Caenorhabditis elegans: one gene and its partners. The protein of the gene in region 1 interacts with the protein of each later gene in a pairwise test. Each region holds a gene or a part of one and is shown on either strand. Other genes may lie near its edges.

Evidence for each region.
Region 2: the proteins of eya-1 (region 1) and unc-39 interact in binary tests that used the Caenorhabditis elegans proteins (3 or more experiments, as listed by UniProt).
Region 3: the proteins of eya-1 (region 1) and C35E7.2 interact in a two-hybrid assay, tested with the Caenorhabditis elegans proteins (2 studies listed by BioGRID).
Region 4: the proteins of eya-1 (region 1) and C02F12.8 interact in binary tests that used the Caenorhabditis elegans proteins (3 or more experiments, as listed by UniProt).

The regions. Positions count from the first base shown.
Region 1 is NC_003279.8:14,228,327-14,232,972, forward strand, and holds the start of eya-1 (Protein phosphatase eya-1), read right to left. Parts: upstream 3,035-4,646; 5' UTR 2,917-3,034; coding exon 2,899-2,916; intron 2,705-2,898; exon of another isoform or gene 2,663-2,704; intron 776-2,662; exon of another isoform or gene 706-775; intron 1-705. UniProt on the Caenorhabditis elegans protein: Tyrosine protein phosphatase. Acts probably as a transcription regulator in the embryonic and postembryonic development of several tissues including pharynx, vulva and gonads. Required for the development of anterior tissues during late embryogenesis.
Region 2 is NC_003283.11:14,371,186-14,376,430, forward strand, and holds unc-39 (Homeobox protein unc-39), read left to right. Parts: upstream 1-1,888; 5' UTR 1,889-2,203; coding exon 2,204-2,506; intron 2,507-3,074; coding exon 3,075-3,204; intron 3,205-3,576; coding exon 3,577-3,926; intron 3,927-4,282; exon of another isoform or gene 4,283-4,303; intron 4,304-4,389; coding exon 4,390-4,614; 3' UTR 4,615-4,696; downstream 4,697-5,245. Other genes in the region: npr-43 (G-protein coupled receptors family 1 profile domain-containing protein), read right to left, coding at 4,954-5,041, 5,092-5,245. UniProt on the Caenorhabditis elegans protein: Probable transcription factor required for differentiation and migration of neuronal cells, such as RID and CAN neurons. Specifically, plays a role in the terminal differentiation of RID peptidergic neurons. Also required for CAN neuron axon guidance.
Region 3 is NC_003279.8:10,839,203-10,845,210, forward strand, and holds C35E7.2 (Reverse transcriptase domain-containing protein), read left to right. Parts: upstream 1-1,895; 5' UTR 1,896-1,918; coding exon 1,919-2,774; intron 2,775-2,975; exon of another isoform or gene 2,976-3,218; coding exon 3,219-3,485; intron 3,486-3,534; coding exon 3,535-3,627; intron 3,628-3,920; coding exon 3,921-4,655; intron 4,656-4,960; coding exon 4,961-5,020; intron 5,021-5,065; coding exon 5,066-5,178; 3' UTR 5,179-5,464; downstream 5,465-6,008. Other genes in the region: C35E7.11 (Glutamic acid-rich protein-like), read left to right, coding at 5,586-5,655, 5,698-5,775.
Region 4 is NC_003284.9:3,689,615-3,694,924, forward strand, and holds C02F12.8 (uncharacterized protein), read right to left. Parts: upstream 3,625-5,310; 5' UTR 3,620-3,624; coding exon 3,518-3,619; intron 3,465-3,517; coding exon 3,213-3,464; intron 2,891-3,212; coding exon 2,381-2,890; intron 2,063-2,380; coding exon 1,593-2,062; intron 1,545-1,592; coding exon 1,237-1,544; intron 1,192-1,236; coding exon 932-1,191; intron 878-931; coding exon 716-877; 3' UTR 529-715; downstream 1-528.

The DNA of each region.
Region 1 (4,646 bases):
TTTTCTTGTAATTTGGATCAAGGGTGTCGGTTTTTCGATTTTTCCAGAAAATCGAAAAATTAAAAATTTTCGATTTTTCGTTTTTTCAAATTCGAAAAATCGAAAATTTTTCGTTTTTCGATTTTCCGAAAAAAACGAAAAATCGAAAATCGAAAAATTTTTCGATTTTTGAAATAAACTTACAAAACAGCTGATAATGTTTTATTTTTGAACCTTTTCGTTGTAGGAGGTTGTAAATATCTATTCAAAAAGGGTTCCCCCACAGGGAAGGATAATCAAAACAGTAAATTTTCACTGAAAAACATCGAAAAATCGAAAAATCGAAAAAATCAAAAAAATCGAAAAATCGAAAAATGACACCCTTGATTCGGATGTACATTAAGCCTAGAATACCCTAAAAATGAGGCTAATATACTGAAAAAAAAAACTTAACAAAATAATTGAAAATCAGCAAAAATCCCTCATTTTTAAAAATTTTCAGAAAAGTTGTCCAAATGGCTCTGTGCGATTTTCAGCGGCTACCAAAGTTACAACCAGGGCTCGAACCCCCGCTGTGGCATATATTTTTATTTAGGTGTTTTTATACTAAACCGGGGAATTTTTTATCAAATCTTGAAATGCTCACTGAGCCCAGGATATTTTAAAAACCAGCTCAAAATTTGGAGAAATTGCCTACAAACCAACAAAAACCCTCGATTTTCAAAATTTTCAAAAAAATTGACCGTATGGCTCAGTGGGATTCTCGGCGTCTACCAATCTCACGGCCCGGGTTCGAACCCCCGCTGTGGCATATATTTTTTCTTTTTCTTTTTCAATGCTTTTACAGACTTCTGAACCCCATCAGGACCCCTCCAAAGCTTGCGAATTTCCGTTCTCAGGAATAATGACGAAACCCGAGCCACCACTCCATTTACATACAGCTCTCAGCTTCTTCTTCCCTCACTACTTTCAAGGCGTCGGACGGGGTGCTTCACAAACAATGCCATCTGTATTTGTTTGCTCGGCGAGCAGTAGCACAGGAGCTTTACATATGTCGCTGTTGTTCAAATACACGGTAGTGGAGGTGATAACTAGGCCGGGGGGCAGTGAAGTAATGAGTGAAAAAATTAAAATTTTGATAAAAACCGGCCAAAAAAATTTGACTTGAATCAATCCCGGAGGGTTCCCCAAAAGCCCTAAAACTTAGTAAGAGCCCGGTGCGGAAAAAAGGTATAAGGGTATCTAGTTTCAAGTGACCGCCGGCGAACAGGTAAGAAAAGAGCCGCGGGAGTTTTCTCAGAGCTCCCCGCCACCAAACAGGTGTTGCGATTTCTACCATAACTCGGTGGAGAGCATAGTTCGAGGAAAGTTGTCAACTAGCAAAATATTACTTGGAAAATTTCCTACAATTTTGTGGTTGGAAACTTTTTTCTTGCTATTCTAGTTTTAAAGTTACGAGGGTTTTAAAAATTTAAAAATAAGCGCCAGGAAATTTTCAAACTCATCTCTTATGCTCATTGAGCCATTTTCTGACTCGTGACTAAAATTTTCGACATGCCTATACCCAAATTAGTCTAAAACACCAAAAAAAAAAAATTAAGCCACAGCGCGGACTCGAACCCGGTCTTCTGCTTGGAAGCCCACCAAAATCCCACTGAGCCACTTGCACCAAATTTTCGAAATTTTATTTTTGGATTTTTTACTGCTTTGCCACAGAAATTGTGCATCGAAGAGCCCCAAGACCTCTGAATTCGATCCCGTCACCACAGGGGGTCCCCCCAACTGTTGCAAGTTGGCTAATGATGGCTATATAATGATGTAATATGGTTGCGTGAGGGGGTATCTAGACTCAACTGGGTATTGGAAAAAGACTAAGGGGTGCCTAAAATCAACTAGTCGCATAAATTGACCAAAAAAAAAATCCAAAATTTACAATAGGGATGTACATCATAATTTTTGATAATTTTTCTGATTAATGTCAGTTTAAAAGGCGATTCGGAGCAAGTTCCTAGTTAAAAATGTATCTTTTTGGAAAAATAGTGAAAATCAAAAATAAGTGTGCTCATTGAGCACCAGGTGACCCAGACATTTGTTTACGTGGATTATAAACTTCGCTAATTATTGATTTGTTTATTTTTCCGAGTTGCAACAAAGTTCGGAATTTTCTACTAAAAAACTTCAACCTAGAAGTTTAAAAGATAGAAATTTGAACTCAGCGCACTCAAATTAATCTAGAAACAGTAAAATGAAAAAATTGTGCCACAGTGCGGACTCGAACCCCGGTCGTCAGATTGGAAGTCATCCGAAATCCCACTGCGCCACTTGGACCAAATTTTCGAAATTGCGAAAAATGAAGAGTAAAAGCTCTGAAAAAAGTTTATTTCAGCTTAAAAATCTACATTTTTATCTGAAACCCCAACCCCGTACCATTAAAATTCGCAGTTCTACTCGTTTTGAGCTCCGAGAGCTTTTTTTCTGGGTTACAAGGAAATTAAAGCCAAGAATCATTTATATAGCTCATCCACACAAAAACAAAAATAAATGCTACAGCGGGGACTCGAACCCCGGGCTTCTGCTCGGAAGCTGTCCAAAAACCCACTGCGCCATTCAGGAACATTTTTAAGATTAGAAATATCGATTTTTCGAGTTTTTTAAATTAAAGTTCACGGTTTAGAAAACTCACAAAATACAGAGAACATTGTAGGAGAGGTTAGCTAGAACTGTCTAGGTACTGAATGGGGAAAGGAGGTACATGGAGGGGGGGGGGGGGGGGGGGGGGGGGGTGTCTTGGAAGAGCTCATCTTACAGACAGACCCTTCTCGCAGAACTTTCTCCAGTTTCATCACCATGCCGATATTTGATACTTTTGGGATGGGGTACCGGGCGCCCGGGGGCGCCCTGAAGCGACATATAACTCACCTCAGAATCTGGAAGCATTTTTTTTTTGATTCAGGAATTGCGAACAATTTCAGATATATAGATTTGGAAATTGTTGAGCAAAAATTTGAGCAACTGGCACGCAGAAGCAGGGAGAGACTGACTCTGATGTATTTGTGTGTGTGTGTGTGCTCTCGTTTTCTCTGCCGGCTCTCTGAGCTCTCGGAGCTCTCACCCCTGAGCTACCGTATGTCTGAGCCAGTCGGCTGTCTGCTCGGAGCTCCGCCTTTTGGTGGAAAATCGCATTATTTTCGGATTCTGAAAAATTAATTTTGAAAAAAAAGTTTTGTACGAGTGACTCAGTGGGATTTTGGAGGGCTACCAATCTGACGACCGGGGTTCGACTCCGCACTGTGGCATAATTTTTTTTCTTTGTTGGTTCGACTATATAAGCCCTGCTGAACACGAATTTTTAACATACAAATTTTTAACTTTTTATTGAAAATAAACTATCAAGCTTAAATTTTAATAGCTCATTGCACCTAGCACACATGAGACATATGCTGAACAGTCCCAAAAAATGCTCAAAATTTTTAAAAATCAGCTCAAACCTCGATTTTCTGAAAATTTGCTCGAATGGCTCAGTGGGATTTTGGAGGGCTTCCAATCTGACAACCGGGGTTCGAGTCCGCACTGTGTCATAAATTTTTTTATTTATTGGTTTGACTATACAAGCCCTGCTGAACACGGATTTCTGACTTATATACTATTTGTAATAACATTTTCAACATTTTGGGGATATATATATATCCCTTCGAAGCTTGGTCTCCAATAGCTTGAACAACTTTAAAACAAGTTCAAAATTGGAAAAAAAAAATATATCGAAATTGCTGAAAAATCAGCTCAAACCGTAATTTTCAAGTTTTTCTGAAAATTTGGCCGAATGGCTCAGTGGGATTTTGGCCGGCTACCAATCTTACGACCGGGGTTCGAGTCCGCACTGTGGCATGAATTTTTGTTTTGCTGTTCTCAGAATAATACAAATCTCCTGAATTCGAATTTTCAACTCTCAAAACCAGAAAGACTTGCTAGGTCGGCTCAAACTTAATTTCTTTTTGTGTACGAGTGGCTCAGTGGGATTCTAGCCAGCTACCAATCTGAGGTCCGGGGTTCGAGTCCGCGATGTGGCATAATTTTTTTTTTGGTGTTATTCTACTAAATTTCGACTTTCCGAGTTCGAATTCGGTCAAAAATTAGACATTTCCACACTGCTTTGTGATTTTTTCGAACTTTTATACCTTCTCAAAAAATCGATATTATTTGTTGATTTTACCCCCTTCCCTTATTTTCCTCTCATTTCTGAGAGTATAGGGAGATGGGGAGCGTGCGAAAGCGGCGAAGCGATCATATTTCAGTTTTCGGGAGCACAGAGTCGAGACGCTGACTTCAATTTTAGTAGTATATGGGACGAGGGACGATTTTGCAATGGAATATTGATTTTGGAGGAAACCCATTGAGTTTTAAGGCATGGGACCTTGAAATTCGGATTCAGAATGTCGATATTAGCCAAATAACACTAAAACAAAAAAATATGCCAAGGCGCGGACTCGAACCCAGGTGGTGAAATTGGTAGTCACCCAAAATCCCACTGAGCCAGTCGGACAAAAAGTTGAAAAGTTCTAGAAAATATGAAATTTGAATAGCAAAATAAAATTAGAAGTCTTAATAAGAAGTTTTCAATAATTCAGGTACTGCTTTCAAAAATTAGCAGGTCGAATTCGGAAACTCTC
Region 2 (5,245 bases), on another chromosome or scaffold:
AGATATTATTGTTCCTTATAATTCATCAAACAATATTAATCAGCATTTTGCATTTGTTTGAAAGTACCAAATTTTGTAAAAGCCTTGAATAGGGATGGCAAACCGAGCGCCCTGTTTTTCAAAAGTAATTTCTCGAGTTTTAATTTGGTTTTAAAAAAACGATGTTCAGATATTGGAACAAGCCGAAACTATCGAATCAGCTAAAAAACAGGCAACGAATACGACAAGTATCCGTAAAACCAAACTCCGTAGTTATTCCGATGCGCCGGCTATAGTTCTGCTCACCTCTGAAGCAAATTCATTGGGCAGATTGATGGTATAACTAAATTTTAAAAAAGCTAAATAAATTAAAATGTTCAAAAATGATTCGTCAGTTGACATTTTTTGATAATAGATACATCAGAAAACATATTATACAAGTTAATACTGCATGAATTGAAATGTAAAAAAAGAGTTTACAATGGGAATGTAGCATAAGTACCACCCACAGTCAACTGCGAATTTACGACAAAAAATAAAGTTACAAAAGTTTAGAAAAAACAATGTAATTATCAGTTTATCTGATATCCCGTATTTTTATATCTTGGTTCACTTTGGTTTTATCAAAAATTTGTCAACTGACAAAATACTTGTCACAATTTTTTCTACATTTTACCAGTAAAATTTGTTTTAACTAAAACCAAAGAAAACCGAAATATAAACTGTCAAAATAAAACAATGGGGATGTAATTTTATTAGGTAAAATATGGTGACAATAAATAGCCAATATCAAATCTACAAAAGAGGAATAGTTGATGTACACTACTAATGAAAGCAAATGGTATAAAGAATACGCCTCTTTGCATTATTGACCGACTACCGTATGCTCGTCAATCAATGTTTTGCTAGGAGAAAAGAGCACGTCAGTTCAATTGTTGAGGACTGTAGAAATTGGTGACAGATGTGATGAAAAACGAGAACATGATTATCAATTGGATTACGTGGGTACTTTTTTAATTGAAGTCACTAACTATAAATAAAACACTTGGAATTTCTTTTAGCCGGCTTTCTCGAAGTTCATATGTTGATAAATATAAAAATAGAGTTTCAATATTTCTATTTGCTCTAAATTCTTCAAAACTACCGAAAAATTAATTATTACCCAATTAAATACTATAAAAAATTAATTTCTTAATGAGACCTCTTGAAACCTTCCTGCAATTTTTTTTGACGGTTCAAAACTTTTCAATTTTCCCAGTTGGTCCGTGTCGCAGCGGTTAAATTAAGTGGGTGCAAGAAAGGTAATAAAATTTGTGCACACTTAGCCATTATAAAAAAACAACAAAAACTCAAAATAAATAACCAAAATAAGCAAGATATAGAATTAATTGTATAAAAGATAATTTCCGGTCACTGTCAACAAGCTGTGAAAATTAGAAATTATAGCTAAAACCTATTTTATTGCAGTCCACTTGAACTTTAAAAATGATTAAAACTTTGTGAAATTTTGAAGAATTCGTATAAAAATTCGGTCTTATGAGATCAGTTTAAGTTTTGTAGTGAAAAAAATACATTTCAGTTCTCCAAGTAACACTGTTTTATTTCTTCTAACTATACGAGCAAGTTTCAAGTTCATTTACGCCCACAAAAATTTCAAAACTATTCTCCCAAAAATGTGTATCTTATTATTCACTACAGTAATCTGAGCCCATGTTTCTTTCAAAATGTTCATCCCCTCATTCCACGACAAAACGAGAATGTTTAGCTATTAACTGGCTGCTTAAAAATTCAAAAGTCTCAATGAAAGGAAAGGTAATCTGAGACTGCACTTTGTTTCCATATTTCTTCTTCTTCTTTTCAGCTCTTCTTATTTTTTCAAACTTCAGCCTCTTCGTCATTTCGTTCCGGTCTCAGCCATACTGTCAGGAGTCAGTCCGGAAATCATCATCCAATTAATATCTGCAGAGGCCCATCCTCACCTCCTAACAACGTGAGGGCTCCTATTTCAAACGAGAAGCTACTCGAATTCGACACTTTTATTCTCGCCTATAATTAATCCTCAACACAAATTTCCCTCCCACCACCTCATCCCAAAAGAGCTCTACAGGTGCCTCCCCCTCTTGGACTGTTGTACCGTACCCCTCAACACAATATTGCTCGATTAGCCCCGCCCATTTGGTCTTCTAGGAACGTTTGCAAGATGAGTAGTATTCCACCTTATTTCATGACAGACCATCCGCCAATTGACACTTCTTCATATTTCGATTGTTATCAACAACATCAGCTGCCACTTCAATATACATTCACTTCATCTTCAAATTCAAACACCTCTAACTCTTCAACATCGCCTTCTCACATCTCGGATCAATTTTCATCATCTGGAGGTCCGCCCTACGAGCTTTCGTCTCATATTCTGACACCGTCTTCTGTAATTCCGACTCCTTCTCCGTCGGTGGCATCTGCTTCAATCAGCTCACCGACTATTCCAGCTTTTGGGTGCACAATGTCCGAATATTCAATGGAACAGGTTGGTTGTGGTATTAAATTTTTAGCGAGGGAAATCAAATATCAGAACTTGAAAAAAAGGTTTCTACTCGAAGTCTAACTATTTCGAAATGTCACAGTTTAGTGCTGGAAACCTGGCTCTGGACGATACGGTGTTTTTTTCAGGTGTTTTTTGACAGTTTCCATGATAGTTGACTTGTTGTAATAACTGGAAGCTGTGTTTTGTTAATAAAAAAGTCTAGAACGTGGAATGAATTCTCGAAAAAGTACCACTTGAAAAACAAAACTTCCGGGTTGCCAGCCATATCACAAGCCGACTTGTTCGCTTTTAATGTTCTCAAAATTTTCGTTGAATTTGAAAGTTTAGTGTTTCACAAATTTTTTTGGTGATAGATGTGTATACCTAACAGGCTTACCGCAAATTTCACAAAGTCAAAAATACATTCAAAAACTTGTGAAATCTTAAATATTCATAACTGTCTCAAAGTAACTTTTTTTAAAAACATGTTCAACATGCACATAGATCAACTGTAGTTTTTATGATTCTTGAGTTTCATCTAAAAACTCAAATTTATTCCCAACAATTTTAGATGGAAGCAATCTCCACATCCCTGTTTCAAGCTAGAGATGGTGATCGATTGGTAGCATTCTTCAAGCAGTTGGAGTCATTGTACGGACCAAATGCAGTAGATCATTTGCGAAGTGAAGCTATCATCGTAGGTATGTTTGATTAGATAGTGATATTTTTGAAAATACTTTGTTCCGCAAGTATCTGATATAGAACTTTACAAAGACTCATTTCTTCAAACTGATCCATTTTTTGCTATAAGAAATTTCTAAAAAATATCCTATAGCAGAAAAAGTTGCTCCCGTAATCCTTCCGACTTGAAAAACTGCGGTAATATCTGCTGTCAACACTCTCACTATTGCTATGTATTTTAGTTCTTCTATATCAATAACGCAATTTCCTCGATTTTGAATAATACCTCATTCGATTGCGTTATATCCTGCTCTTCTCAAATTCCAAACCATTTATTGCGTTGACTCTTTTTAGTACCCGCCATTCCATCTAACCCTATTCTCCAATTTCAGCCTACACATATGCCTTATATCATTCCAATGAATTCGAGACACTCTTCCACCTTCTCTCGAATCGACATTTTCAACAGCGTCATTACAATGATCTACAAGATATTTGGCATCATGCAAGGTACAAGGAAAGTCAGCTGAAACGTGGCAAAGAACTGAATCCAGTGGAAAAATATCGGCTGAGACGAAAGTTTCCGGCTCCGAAAACAATTTGGGATGGTGAGGAGATTGTGTACAGTTTCAAGGATTCGAGTAGGAAATTTTTGAAACAATTTTTCCGCAACGTCTCTGAATATCCGACCCAGGAGCAGAAAAGAGAGATTTCAAGAGCAACAGGACTCAAAATTGTACAGGTTTGTGAGAAAAATATTAACTTCAAAATTGCTTATTTAGTCAGTAAATTAAGGAGAAGTTAGTAGAATCCCTGGGTAAAACTTTTCACATTTTAACTGACTATGTACAGTACTTATTACCAGCTGCCAAGTCGTAAACGCTTGCGTGCTATCCTTGTCTGAGTTGAGTTTGCTTATATTTTTCCAACAATGATTGTAAAAAGGAATGCGTGAAAAGACAGTTGCCGACTAGTCGCAACTGAGCAGACGGCTTCTCCGAAAGAATTTGTTTATAAGATCTGCAAGGTCAAATTGTAAGGATCATAAATTATCTGTTTCATTTTATTGTCAAATTTCGAGTAGAAGATTAGTGTGATTACAAGGATTCTATGGTAGAACAAACTAAAATAGGATCTGAAAAAGCCGGAGCGTAAATTAGTACATGGTAAAGTAATCTCGAACAAATTTCAATTTTATTTTTCAGATTTCAAATTGGTTCAAAAACCGTCGCCAACGGGACAAATCGAACAATTCAGCCAAATGCTCCCCACCTTCCAGCTCGAGCAGCACTAATGGTGGCAGTGACTTTCTTCCAATAATAACTCCGCAAAGCTTTAACTTGGCAGCTGCTCCATTCAATATGAACATGATCTATGGTACATTACGTGACAGTCAGTCTGATAATGATCAATTCACTTTCAATCCGTAATTTTTTTTAAAATAAAAGTAAAGTATTTACCCATTGTATATTTGAAATGCTTTAAAAGTGCAAAAAGAATAAACTGTTATTTTTAGAAGTTTGCCAGGCTATAATTTTTTTTTTGATATTTAAATCTGAATTCAAGAATCTGGAAAAATATCAGAATTTCAAGGTTTCTTGCAAGGTTTTTTGAAACACTGAAAAAATAAAAACAAATTTATTGAAACAAAAAACCGTAGCACATATTGCGGACATAAATAAATAGAGACAAAATGCAAGATCACAAATAACCCCGAAACAAAATATATTAGAACTTCGTAGATGTCGGATATTGGCATACTATATAATCTATCCAGTAAGTGAAGTGCTCAAAATCTCCTTCGCCTCCTTCTTCACAATTCGACACCGAATCCTTCGTTCCAGCCATCTGAAACACCTCAAAATCGGAGGATTTTTTAGAATCTCGGAGCTCAATGATACACTCACTTTTCGAATCGAACTTTGCCGAAATAGGCCAATGTGTTGGTTGCCGAGTTGAGAATGACAAGGAAGTCTGAGATTCGCGTGACTTTTGTCATGAATGGGCCGAAGTTTATACTGTTTTCAATGAGAACCTCGTAGAGATCAATCAATGTTGGCA
Region 3 (6,008 bases), 3.4 Mb from region 1:
CTCACAGAAACTCACAAATCTACATATACGCCTTCTGATTAAAGCGACAGCAGAGATGTTTTCTCTCGTGTTGTCTAACATCTCTTTTATTTATTTTTTGCGTGAAAGCTGGAGCTGAGAGAGAAGAAAACGGATTCTTGTTTCGCGCATTCTTTTCGAGAACCCCAACAAACATTTTTTGACGCCAAGAACCCTTGCTAGCTGGAATTCAAGTTCCTGGTAGGCTCCAGATAGGCCTGGTAGGTACGTAGGCACCCCTGCCTGCTGATTATTTTTTTGCATTTAGGCGCGAGCTCTGGTGTTTCCCGTTTATACAGTGTAGGCTTACGCATTTCAATTTGTGTAAATTTTAGCAATTCTAATTTGATAGTAGTCATGTAGAAGGTTGCTTCGAGGCTCACTTTTAAACTTTCCTTTTTAACTTTGAAACAGGTGCCATTTTACAAAAAGTTTAGCTACAAAGGAGCACTTTGAACTAGTTAAAATTAGATCTAAAAAATTCGAAAAAATCAAAATTTTAATTGATAGCGTTGGGTTAAACAATTCTAGAACGTATGCCTTTCCCTAAACATTCTCAAAACCTTTAAAAATCTGCAATGCTATGTAAATCTACTATTTGAGCAATTTTATGTGAGTTCACATCGTGCAGGCTCAAAAACCTATGCCTACCTACGCCTAACTACTGTCAAATTACACATGTATAACTTCAAAAATTTGAAACAATTTTTTTACAATTATCTTTTTCATTCTATATAAATCCGCAGATTTCCTGAAATTCTACTCCACGCTCTCTTACCACCTTTCTATGTTTCTCTATATCTCCACCTCTCCGCCCTTTCCAAAAGCAAGCTCCGCCCCTTTAATGCGCACCGCCCTTCCATCCATCACGTACTTCTTCATTCCTTCTTCTTCTACTTTGATAATATTTCTCCCTGCTCTCATGTTGCTATGGTTTCTTTGTCTCTTCTGTGCTCCGCGAGCTCTCATTGATTTCCTTCGTTTCTATTTTCGACTTTTCATTAAGCTTTTCATTCCTTTATCCATCTTAGTTAGGCTTAAACTTTTAATATTCTTTTGAGCCACCCATGCATGCTTCCAGAAAACTGAAAAATGTGATATTTGATTTAATCTGACATTAATTAAATTTAGCATTTATCTGAAAATTTATCTGAAATGTTTCTCCTGTCATTTTATATCGTTCATTAATTTCAAATGTTTTAAATTGGTTTCTAAATAATTTAATTTTCCTATTTAATTTTCCTATGTATTTCTCATACTTTTATTTCTAGATTTAACTTGTCAATTTTCTTAGTACATTCTTTCTATAACTCACAATCTGAAACAGAACATATTTTAAAGTAATGAATTACTTTTCTTCACTTTACCACTTTTCCCAATAAATTATATTGATGAAAAATTGTCTGAAACAATTTCAAATTTCTACAAAACGGGAAAAGCATTTAAAAAACAATATTTCACGGGGAAAACTACTAATAGAACATTTCTCTACAATCTACATCTATATGAGCAACGCCAAATTTCCAACTATCTCATTATAATCCCCTTGAGATAATATAGTTGGGGAACACCTAATTAAATCTGAAAAGTTCAAAACATCAATTGGAACTGCACTATTTTCATCTAATAGTAGCCTAGAGAGTCCAAGGATCAACTCAACGAACAGTTCAAACTATATATAATCCCATTGAAGACGCAGACAACGAGGCACTCTTGCTGTCTGCGTTTCTCACACTATTAAAGGGTATTAACTTTCTACTTTCATAACTTGCCTAGATACTTATCAATTTTTTTCATGACAGCCTTTTTGGAATTTCCAGTTAATCTTGATTTGCTGTCTTGTTTCTCAGCATTAAATTCTCAATATATTAATTTAAAGCCTGAAATTTTCAGGTAAAAAATGAACACCAGTGAATACCAAAATCCTCCTTCAAAATACTCAACATCAACCCAAACACCCCAGCTACCAAAAGTAGCCCGCATCGTACCAAAATATTCAGTCGTTTGCGAGAATTCACTTGAAGTTGTTCTCTTTGGAACAGATAATGGAGTCTTTGGAAAGTACATCTTCAAGAATAATGAGTTTCTAAAAGCTCCAGATTGCGTTTGCCAATCTTGTTTGCGGGCTGATGACATCAACCTCTTTACTGATTCGGTGGAAGTTCAGGGATTGAGAGCAACTGACAAATTACACAGAGGCATTGATGGACAACGGTTGATGTGTATTGGAATATCATGGATTGGATGTAAGCAGTCAGGAGTTATGGACACATTTGTGAATATACATGGAATAATTGGAAAGTACCGAAAAACACCGGAAGGCTTGATACTGAAAGACGAAAACAAGGCCATTGCGCTTCTACCAAATTTTCCGATTCAGAATACTCAAGCAATTATGGAGAAGGATTTGCTTCTTCTCAACACCAAAATATGCCCTCATGTATCCCAAAAAATCTACTTCTGCAAAACCACAAAATCAGAAAGTGTACACCAAGTCGTTCTCAACAAATTAACCCTCCACTTTGAAATTATCAAATGTTCAGTCTGTACTTATGATAAAAACTTGGAATTGGAGTATTATGACAAGAAGACGAAACTTTATGCGGAAACGGTGAGATGTGAGACGACGGAAAAGTTTGCAATTGTGCGATCAGCTAAAAATGAGAATATTTTTCTGTCGACTTACTGTCCGAAGACACTTGACCTAAAACTCCAAAGCCCAGTTGCAATGGAAGAGAGAAAATTGACAAATTCAGGTTGGTGTTTTGAATACGTTCTTGCATGTTTATTTGATGAATTGCGAATTTTTCATAACTTCGAATTTTATCTTTCAACTCTCTTTTTCTATAGCCTAATAGATATTGGGTTGGAAGTTGGTGGGGCAAGGGTAGTATCAAGGTACTGTCGTGACACGGAGGTGTAATGTAAGATTGTTGTAGGATTACTGTAGTTTTTGAAAAAAAAAGCGAGTTTCAGTCTTTTGAAGATGTGTTAAGTTCTTGTGAAAAAATAATAAAAAATATGAACATTTATCTGCAGTATTTTCCAGTAAATCACAAATTCCAGTCAGTATTTGGTGTACTTTTTAATCATTTCAATAAAATTGAACATTGATTCCAAATAAACCAAATTATTTTTTTATACTTTACGTATGGTATATATGAACTGTACAAAATAACTTTAAAATACGATAATTTCAGAATCAAATAATTGGTACAACACATCAAAAAGTTGCGAGGAGAATATCCTCGAAAAAATGTGCCCAGCCAATGAAAATCACCAAACTCTTGTTGCCACGGAAGGCGCAACTTTTGGCACAATATACTGGATGATGAATGAGAATTATAAAATTGATCCATTCAAAATTGCGCCAACAATTCCTGGAACTGGAACATTTCTCACCATCTTGTCCAGTTTGGACGTTTTTAAAAGCCGGAAAGTGATTGCAAGCAAGTTTACTTTATTCGGTGAGTTTTCGAAGAGTTTCAATTTTTAAAAAACTGAAAAGAATTGCAGAGAACGTGACTCCTAAAGACTTGATCGATCACAGATGTGAGGATTGTGAGAACAACGTGCGTCCTACAGACGCATGGCTTGAGTCTGATAAAGGTAATCAATTGAACTGATCACAATGTAGAGTAGAGTAGAAAATTTGGTTAAGCTAATTGTTTTTCAGTCTACCATAGAAGCCCCGTAGAACTATTAAAAATTTGAGTAAAAATAATTAATTTTCAAATCTAAAAATCTGAACATCTGCTTCAAACATATTCGTTTAGTACTATTTCGATGCAACTAATTTGCTAAATATTTATATTTGTAGCCAATTTCTGAACCAACTGAACATTTTCTGATAAATCTTGAGCAAGAAATTGGCTTCAAAAGTCGCAATGAATATTTTTAAGGAAAACCTACTCTACGCAATCAAATGCATCCGGATTACCACCCGACTTACAAAAAGAATTCCGAATATGAAGATGCACAGGAGGATTTTGATGATATTGAGCTGAAAGTTTTCCAAAAATTGTGTAATATGGAGGACAACTTGTTCAAGCAGATAATCGATTTTGAAAAACCAAAGGAACAGTTTACCGCACCACCACACCCACAAATGACTCACCGTGTTGCCCAACCTCATTATGTTCCAGTGGAATATTTCAATCACACGATATCAGACTTGCTTAGACAAATATCAGGTCTGCAGCATGAGCAAGCTATGCAAAATGGACAAATGCAGCATATGGCCAATGAAATTCGAAGCATTGGAAATGCAGTTTGCAGTCTACACTCATCACAACTACAACAGCCGCCTAACAGTGCCGCAAGCATGTTTCCGTACCCGATTCATCCGATGCCTTCAACCTTTCCACAGCAAGCACCTCATGCTCCAAATGCTCCTCAAATGACAGCCAACTCAATGCAAAGCATCGCAGAGCTCATACTCGCGCAAAGAGGAATCGCACCAAGAAGAGAAAGACGTCTCACAGAAGGTCCTAAAAAGTATAACAGAGTGATCCCACCTTCACCCCGAATTCCAAGTTCAACTGATAAAAAGGAAATGCTGAAAAAATCGAATGATCGGTTTGATAAGCTTAGAGAAGAAGTTTCCGATGTAAGGACACAATTGTCTGGTTTGGAAGGTACGTTGTTTCTGTCAGACATTTTCAACTTTCTAGAGCACCCCGCAAGCTTTTTCTCGCACACTCTCAACCTTCTGTCGCAGAAATTTGTATAAGTATAATCACGTGCAGACGACTATACGATCTCTAAGGGATCCTTGATGCTTTGAGCTTGAAGCTTTTGATCTTCAAACAGGACAGAAATCAAATTTGGAACTATCAAAAGGCATTTAGCGCTCAAAAAATAACGGCGAAAAAAGATTAGAAGCGCGTTAGCTACCAAGAAAATAAGCTCGCCAGAAAAGTATAAGCCCCTATATTTCCAGACACTACTTTCAAAAAGCCGAAAAAGCTGCACTTCCTTGAACCAGACGAAGAATCAGAGAGTGAGAATTGAAATGATAAATCTCAGTTTAATTCTCAAGTTTCAGGCGACGAGAACGGCAATGATGTGGACGAATTTTCAGAAGCTGATGATGATGATGAGGACGTGGATCGAGAAATGAAAGTTCTTGTCGAGTCACTCAAAAACCGCGTTCAATAGTTTTTTACCCCAAAACTCAATCAAACTACTCTCAAAAATTGAAATTCCTATATCTTTTGATTTCAATTGTGCATGTTTTTTCTTATCTTCTTCCTGTGTTCTCATCCCCAATTTTCTGGTTTTCATATGGAAATCTGTGACAAAACGATTCCATATCCTCAATTACACATAGAAACCCCATTTTTACTGTACGTTTCCAGCTACCTTTCCTTTCATAGTATCCTAGTTTCACTTGAATTTCCTGCTTTTTCGTCCTGCTATAAAAAGTTATACAACTGGGAAATAACCCCGGGAAACTAAATTAAACTTATTTAAAGAGTTTATAATCTCTGCTTTTTACTTTTCACTTTTAATTTATTTTTTTTTAAACTAAATTTTCAAGCATTTTTAGCAACTGCAAACCAGCCATGTCCGAGATCGTCGAAGTTCCAGATTCTCCGCCAAGATCTCCGGAAGTCGAGTGCCCATTCAGTGAGGGTGAGGAAAATTTATCTGAAACCCTGATAATTTTTTTTTCAGAAGGTTCCTCCGAAAAGTCGATGGAGACTAGAAAGCGGGTCGCTGAAGAGGCTGAGGGGAAAGAAGGCGACGATGATGGTTAGTATAGTTTGAATATTTAAATTGCAGACAAACTCGGAATGCATTTAAATTTATTAGAACAAACTGGAAATTATTTTTGGTAAATTTTCAAAAAGTTCATCCGTTTAGTTTTTGAGTGATTTCAGTTTTTACCGAAATTTTTCTATGTTGAACTAAAATATACGACATTCTTCTGTTATTTGCAAGACGTCGCCAATGTTTTCGAATTAGTTTTCAATTTATTTTATTGA
Region 4 (5,310 bases), on another chromosome or scaffold:
ACGTTGACAAGACCCGATGAATGTGATGACGGTGAGCATAACGCTGCCGAAATGTGTACGGATTGATTGAAAAATAGATTAAGGGGGCTATCAATTTAGATTTATTGCTTTAATTTTTCAATTTGTTGTAAGCCATAAGGAAAAAATGAGCAAAAGTTGTATCCTCTTCGATAGCGTTTTTTTTTTTCAAAAGATTTCGTCAGCCTAATTTCAAAACATACAGATTGGATAAAATGTTTCAATTTCAAAAATATTTCGTAGACAAAAATAGCTATATTTAACTTCTTCATCTAGTTTCACTTAAGCACGATCTCTTTTGATTTTTTGATTTTGATTTTGATTTTGGGAATTAAATGTTTGAGGTAATAATAAATAATCAACAAAATAATAATGTCCGTCTGTCCAGTTTGCCTAATTTGTTTGTGAAGTCAAAAACGCGTCTCTTGAGTTATTCAACCCTTTCTAAACTTGAATTTAAAATTGGTAGAAGTTTGAAACTGGTTAGAGCCTCTGAAAAGATGAAGAAATACAAGACTAGACATTTTTATTCTAAAAATCTCAATACATAAATTGATTTACCCATAAAGTCAATAAATTAAAATTGAAGACAATGACACGTAATTAAATGGACTGAAAAATACAACTGAATGGTCATGGTTAATCACAGTTAAAACATCTGATCACTGGGTACAATGTGTACAAACAATAACGGAATCTAGAAAAGGTTGAAGAAAATTTCTTCGTAATACTCTAATTTGTCAGTAGAATCGCTGGTGAGACCGGCCAAAAAGCATAGTTCCGGAAGAATAGCTGGCGGCAAGTTCAGCTGAAGTTGCTCGTAGATTGTAATACGCGAGAGACTTTGCGGACGTTGAACCTGTAAATAGTCAGTTTGAGACACTTAAAAGTACCAAAATTCATTAAAACTCACCATTTTGAATGCCAAAATGCGTTTTTCAATAAACTGTAACACTTTGTTCATTTCATTCGAATTTTCTTCCCAAGTTTTCACAAAAGTATCCACCGTTTCATAGAATTTTTGATATGAGAAATTTTCGTGAAAAATTGGACGACCCGATTCTGAAATCTTCTTTGCTCTGTTAGCAATTGCCATTTGAACTGCATGCAGGATTTGGGGACTGATCAACGATGGCGGTGGATTCGAGACGGGTCTTTTTCCTCGCTTCTTTTCTGAAATTGAAAATATTAGTACCAAATGGCGATGATGAATCTCACTTTGGTCTTTCTGTCCTGAGCTTGAGTAGTCACCACCAGCTTGCTCCACATGCTTCTGTCTTTCTCGATATGCTGCTTCCAGTACATCGTCATCAGTTTCCAATTGATTTGCCTTCTGTGCAGCCATAAGGCGCTTTTCTTTTTTTGTCAACTTTTTCCTGGCGTCGGGTAGAGCAATAGTTGATGCTTCTTTGCTATCCTCGTCAATGGTGGAAGCGGCCAAAGTCTGCTGACATTTTTGCAATGGTTTTTCGACTTTTGACAATGGCAGCGGGTAGACGAGTTTTTGTGTTTTCTGTGGTACAAAACTGAAAATTACAGAATTTATCATTTTAGCAGTAATATCAAAAAATCACCATTTCTTCCTGCCCGTCGCCTCCTGCCATGATTCCAAAACGTCATCCGACGTATCCAGATACTTAATGATTTCAGATATTGACGTATCCCTGTCATCATCAACAATCAACGAGTCAGTCGTCATTTCAGATACAGGTTCAGATTTGATTTCAACTACGCTCATGTTATCCGAGTGTTCCAAAGTTTCCGGCTCAATCAGTGTTTTCGAAAGATCAAGGTTCTCCATTATATCATCAACATCATCTAATGGTGGCATTTCAGACATTGTACTGCTATAAGGTTCTGGCTCATTTGCAACACTTTCCGTGTCTACTGAATCCAAGTCGCAATCTTGCTGACCAACAGGCGTCAACGTTCCATAATCTTCGTCTTCCGATTCTTCCCTGACACTATCAGTCATGGGTGATAACGAACCATTTCCAACACTAGATCCATTGATGGGCGGTCTGCTGGACATAGATATGTCGCTCTGAAAAAACCATTTTGTAATATAGCATTATAAATTAGTCAAGTGCTGCGTGAGTGTGTTCAAGTTTAAACATTTGATCATTATCACTTTCAGGAACATTTAATGATAGTTGTCATAAATTTAGGAGTGTGTCTGATATTCATGGTCAGACAAGAAGCGGGTTACTAAAATGGTTTTAGATGCAAACCAGTTAATCTCCCAACTTTTAAATTTTTCATATAACTTCCCTAAAAGCGGTCATGTTCAAATTTTCAAATTCTGGCATACCCAAGCAGCAGTTAAGTTGTTTTTGTTGTAGTCGATAATATTGTTTATTACCTGTCCGGAAGAAAACGATTGTGATGAGCATACTGATGATCCCGATTGTGACATGGAAACGACGCATACAGGTGCGCTGACAACTCGACAATATGCAACTCCATTGTTATCATAAATAATGTCTGGGAATCCTTCGTTGGCAGGTGGACCAGAATATTGACTGTAAGACGGTGATGGAAAGATGGGAGACGAGAATCCATATCCAGAAGGTGGCTTTGAAGTATCAATTTGAGGTGGTGACATTGAATACGATCCTTGCGAAACCATTACAGCTCCGACTGGCATCATGGTTGGTGGAGCTGGCACAAATTGGGGAGGATTGTAATTCTGGGAACCAACAGGCACGTGTGGATGCATAGGCTGGTTTACAATCTGTGGGTGTGCAAATCCTGAATTCGACGCTGCCAAATCCATAGTGTATGGAGGAACAGGTTGCGGAAAGACGTTTGGATTTGATGCAAACTGTGCCGGAGGTGGCATGTAATTACCATGTTGAGCAAATGGGTGTACCTGAAAATTGCAATTGTTTCAAAGTTTTAAAGAAATTCTTATGGCCTTGGGGTTTTTAAACAGTGAAAAACTACATTTCTAAAAATTAAAACTTGTTTACTCCTCTCGATTGAAAAAAAAACCGATTTTTTCCATTAAATCAACGAGTTTCTAAAATCATTAAAAGTTTAATTGTCAGCTTTTAGTTTCGCCGTTCGCTTAATTTTTATTGCAATCTAGTATTCCCATTTCAAAAAATTATCAACGAAATAAGCTTTCAAATTGCCTGAGATTGGAAATTCTCAATATCTCATGAACAAACTTTTCAAATTGAAAAACAAACCTTAAATGAAGCATCCAACGTGCTCACCAAATTGTTCTGATATCCGCAATTTTGATAAGGATTTGGGCACTGATTATTTTGGACGGGAGCGGCGAACTGTTGCTGCATGAGATCATCAACGTCTTTTGAGTTCAACAGAACCTCATTCTCAAAATTCCACAGCGCAATAGGATCATTTGATTCAAAAGCTCTTTGAACGATTTCCCCGTAACTTGGATCCAGACGATGAAGATTATTGTAGGAAAAGAGAATCTGTAAAAAATTATTATATATAAGAATATACAAACGCTCTAAACATTATGTACCTTCTCCAATTGATTTCTTCTTTGAACACTATTCCTGAGAAAGTCCTCATGTACTTCACTCGAGTGTCCTTCGGTTTTCCAGCGAGATCTATCGTTTTGCATAGCTTCTGAACAAAGTTAACATGAAAATTTGTCAGAGTTTAAAACAACTGATAGGTGCAATATTGAGAGCCTGTTAATAATTGAAAATTTAAATTGTAGGAAAAACCGAATAAAAAAAACATATAATTTAGTGCTTACAACATTCAGTTTTACTATTTATTTTATGAGTAAAATTATAACGAATAGAAGCTGGCGGTGTCACATTTCAAAACTAGATCAAAAGATTTGCTGAATTAAAATAAAAAAGAGAAATGTTATAGCTATTTGTTTGTTTTTAACCTACTCTTGTTACCGCAAAAAAACATTGTGAGCATTTTACACAAAATTATATAATTTTTGAATTTCCTTTGCTAGTAATTGTTGGGAAAAATCAAAACAAATTCTTGAAGCTAGATTGCATTCCAAGTAACATGGTTAGTTCAAAACATAGAATTTTATGAGAAATTCAAACTTTGAAAGAATCATGCATCGCGTTGGGGCTCTCGAAAAATAATGTCTAGGTATCTAGATAGCTAGATTCATATCATAGCTATAGATTTAATTTTTGCTTGTAACTACAATTGTGGAAAAATGGGAATATAAGAGTACCATTGAAAAAAATAGCACAATGTATAAATTGCACGGTTGGCATGCAAAATTTTGGTTGGAAATTCAATGAGTAGAGCTAAAAAAGTTTTAGTTTTGCCCAAGGATAAAAAAAAGGAAACCTGACTCAATTTCTGTCAGTGGAATTTCTAATTTGGTTAGTGCATTCTGATTTGGTCAGTGCAATTACTAATTTGGTCAGTGCTTTTCGACTTTGGTCAGTGCTTTTCTATTTTGGTCAGTGCTTTTCTATTTTGGTCAGTGCTTTTCTATTTTGGTCAGTGCATAATTTTAATTTCTAACCTATTATCTGATTGAAAAAAAATTAGGAGGAACGAAGTTGAAAACTGAGGTGAACAAATGAAAGTGAAAAGACGCGCACGCAGGTGGTGGTGCTTAGTGTTTATCGTCACCCACAACAATAACTGGGTGGGTAATATGGTGAGGAAGAGGACTCGTTGGACAGGGCAAAGGGCCCCTCGGCGGATGCCACGCACGCAGCACACAAAACCCCCCTACATTCGTTCGCGCGCACACTCATAGAACACTCACACACACGCACACACACGCTCACATATAGCCAACTGCACCCCCACGTCAACAAAACACAAACACACAAACACGCACACACATGCGCTCACACGACGACACGGCATCCAGAGGCACTAGCGCAGTTAATTTTTGACGCTCTAGACTAACAATGGGACTCTTTTAACTCAATGAACATATGACAAATGTTCACGGATTCTCGTGTGATTGCGCACGAAACAGAGCGTTACGGTGGGCGCAAGGCCGTTACGGAAAATGGTAATGACGGTCATAGGTCCAATTATTATACATATGTGATAGTAAAATGTAAACAAAAACTAGCATGTTCGCAGTAAGTTTCAGAATGTAGAGAAGAAAACAGAAATCTATGTGGAAATATAATCTAGCAATCATCCTGGAACTTATCAAATGCTTTCAATGTACGACAGGTGCTAAAAAATGTAAAAATGTAGCAGAAATTTCACAGAAAAGGTAAACTAAAATCATAAAAGAACTCGCACCCCCAATTTCGCAAGAATAATTGTAAAAAAAAACAGAAGGGAGGTCATGGATATTTT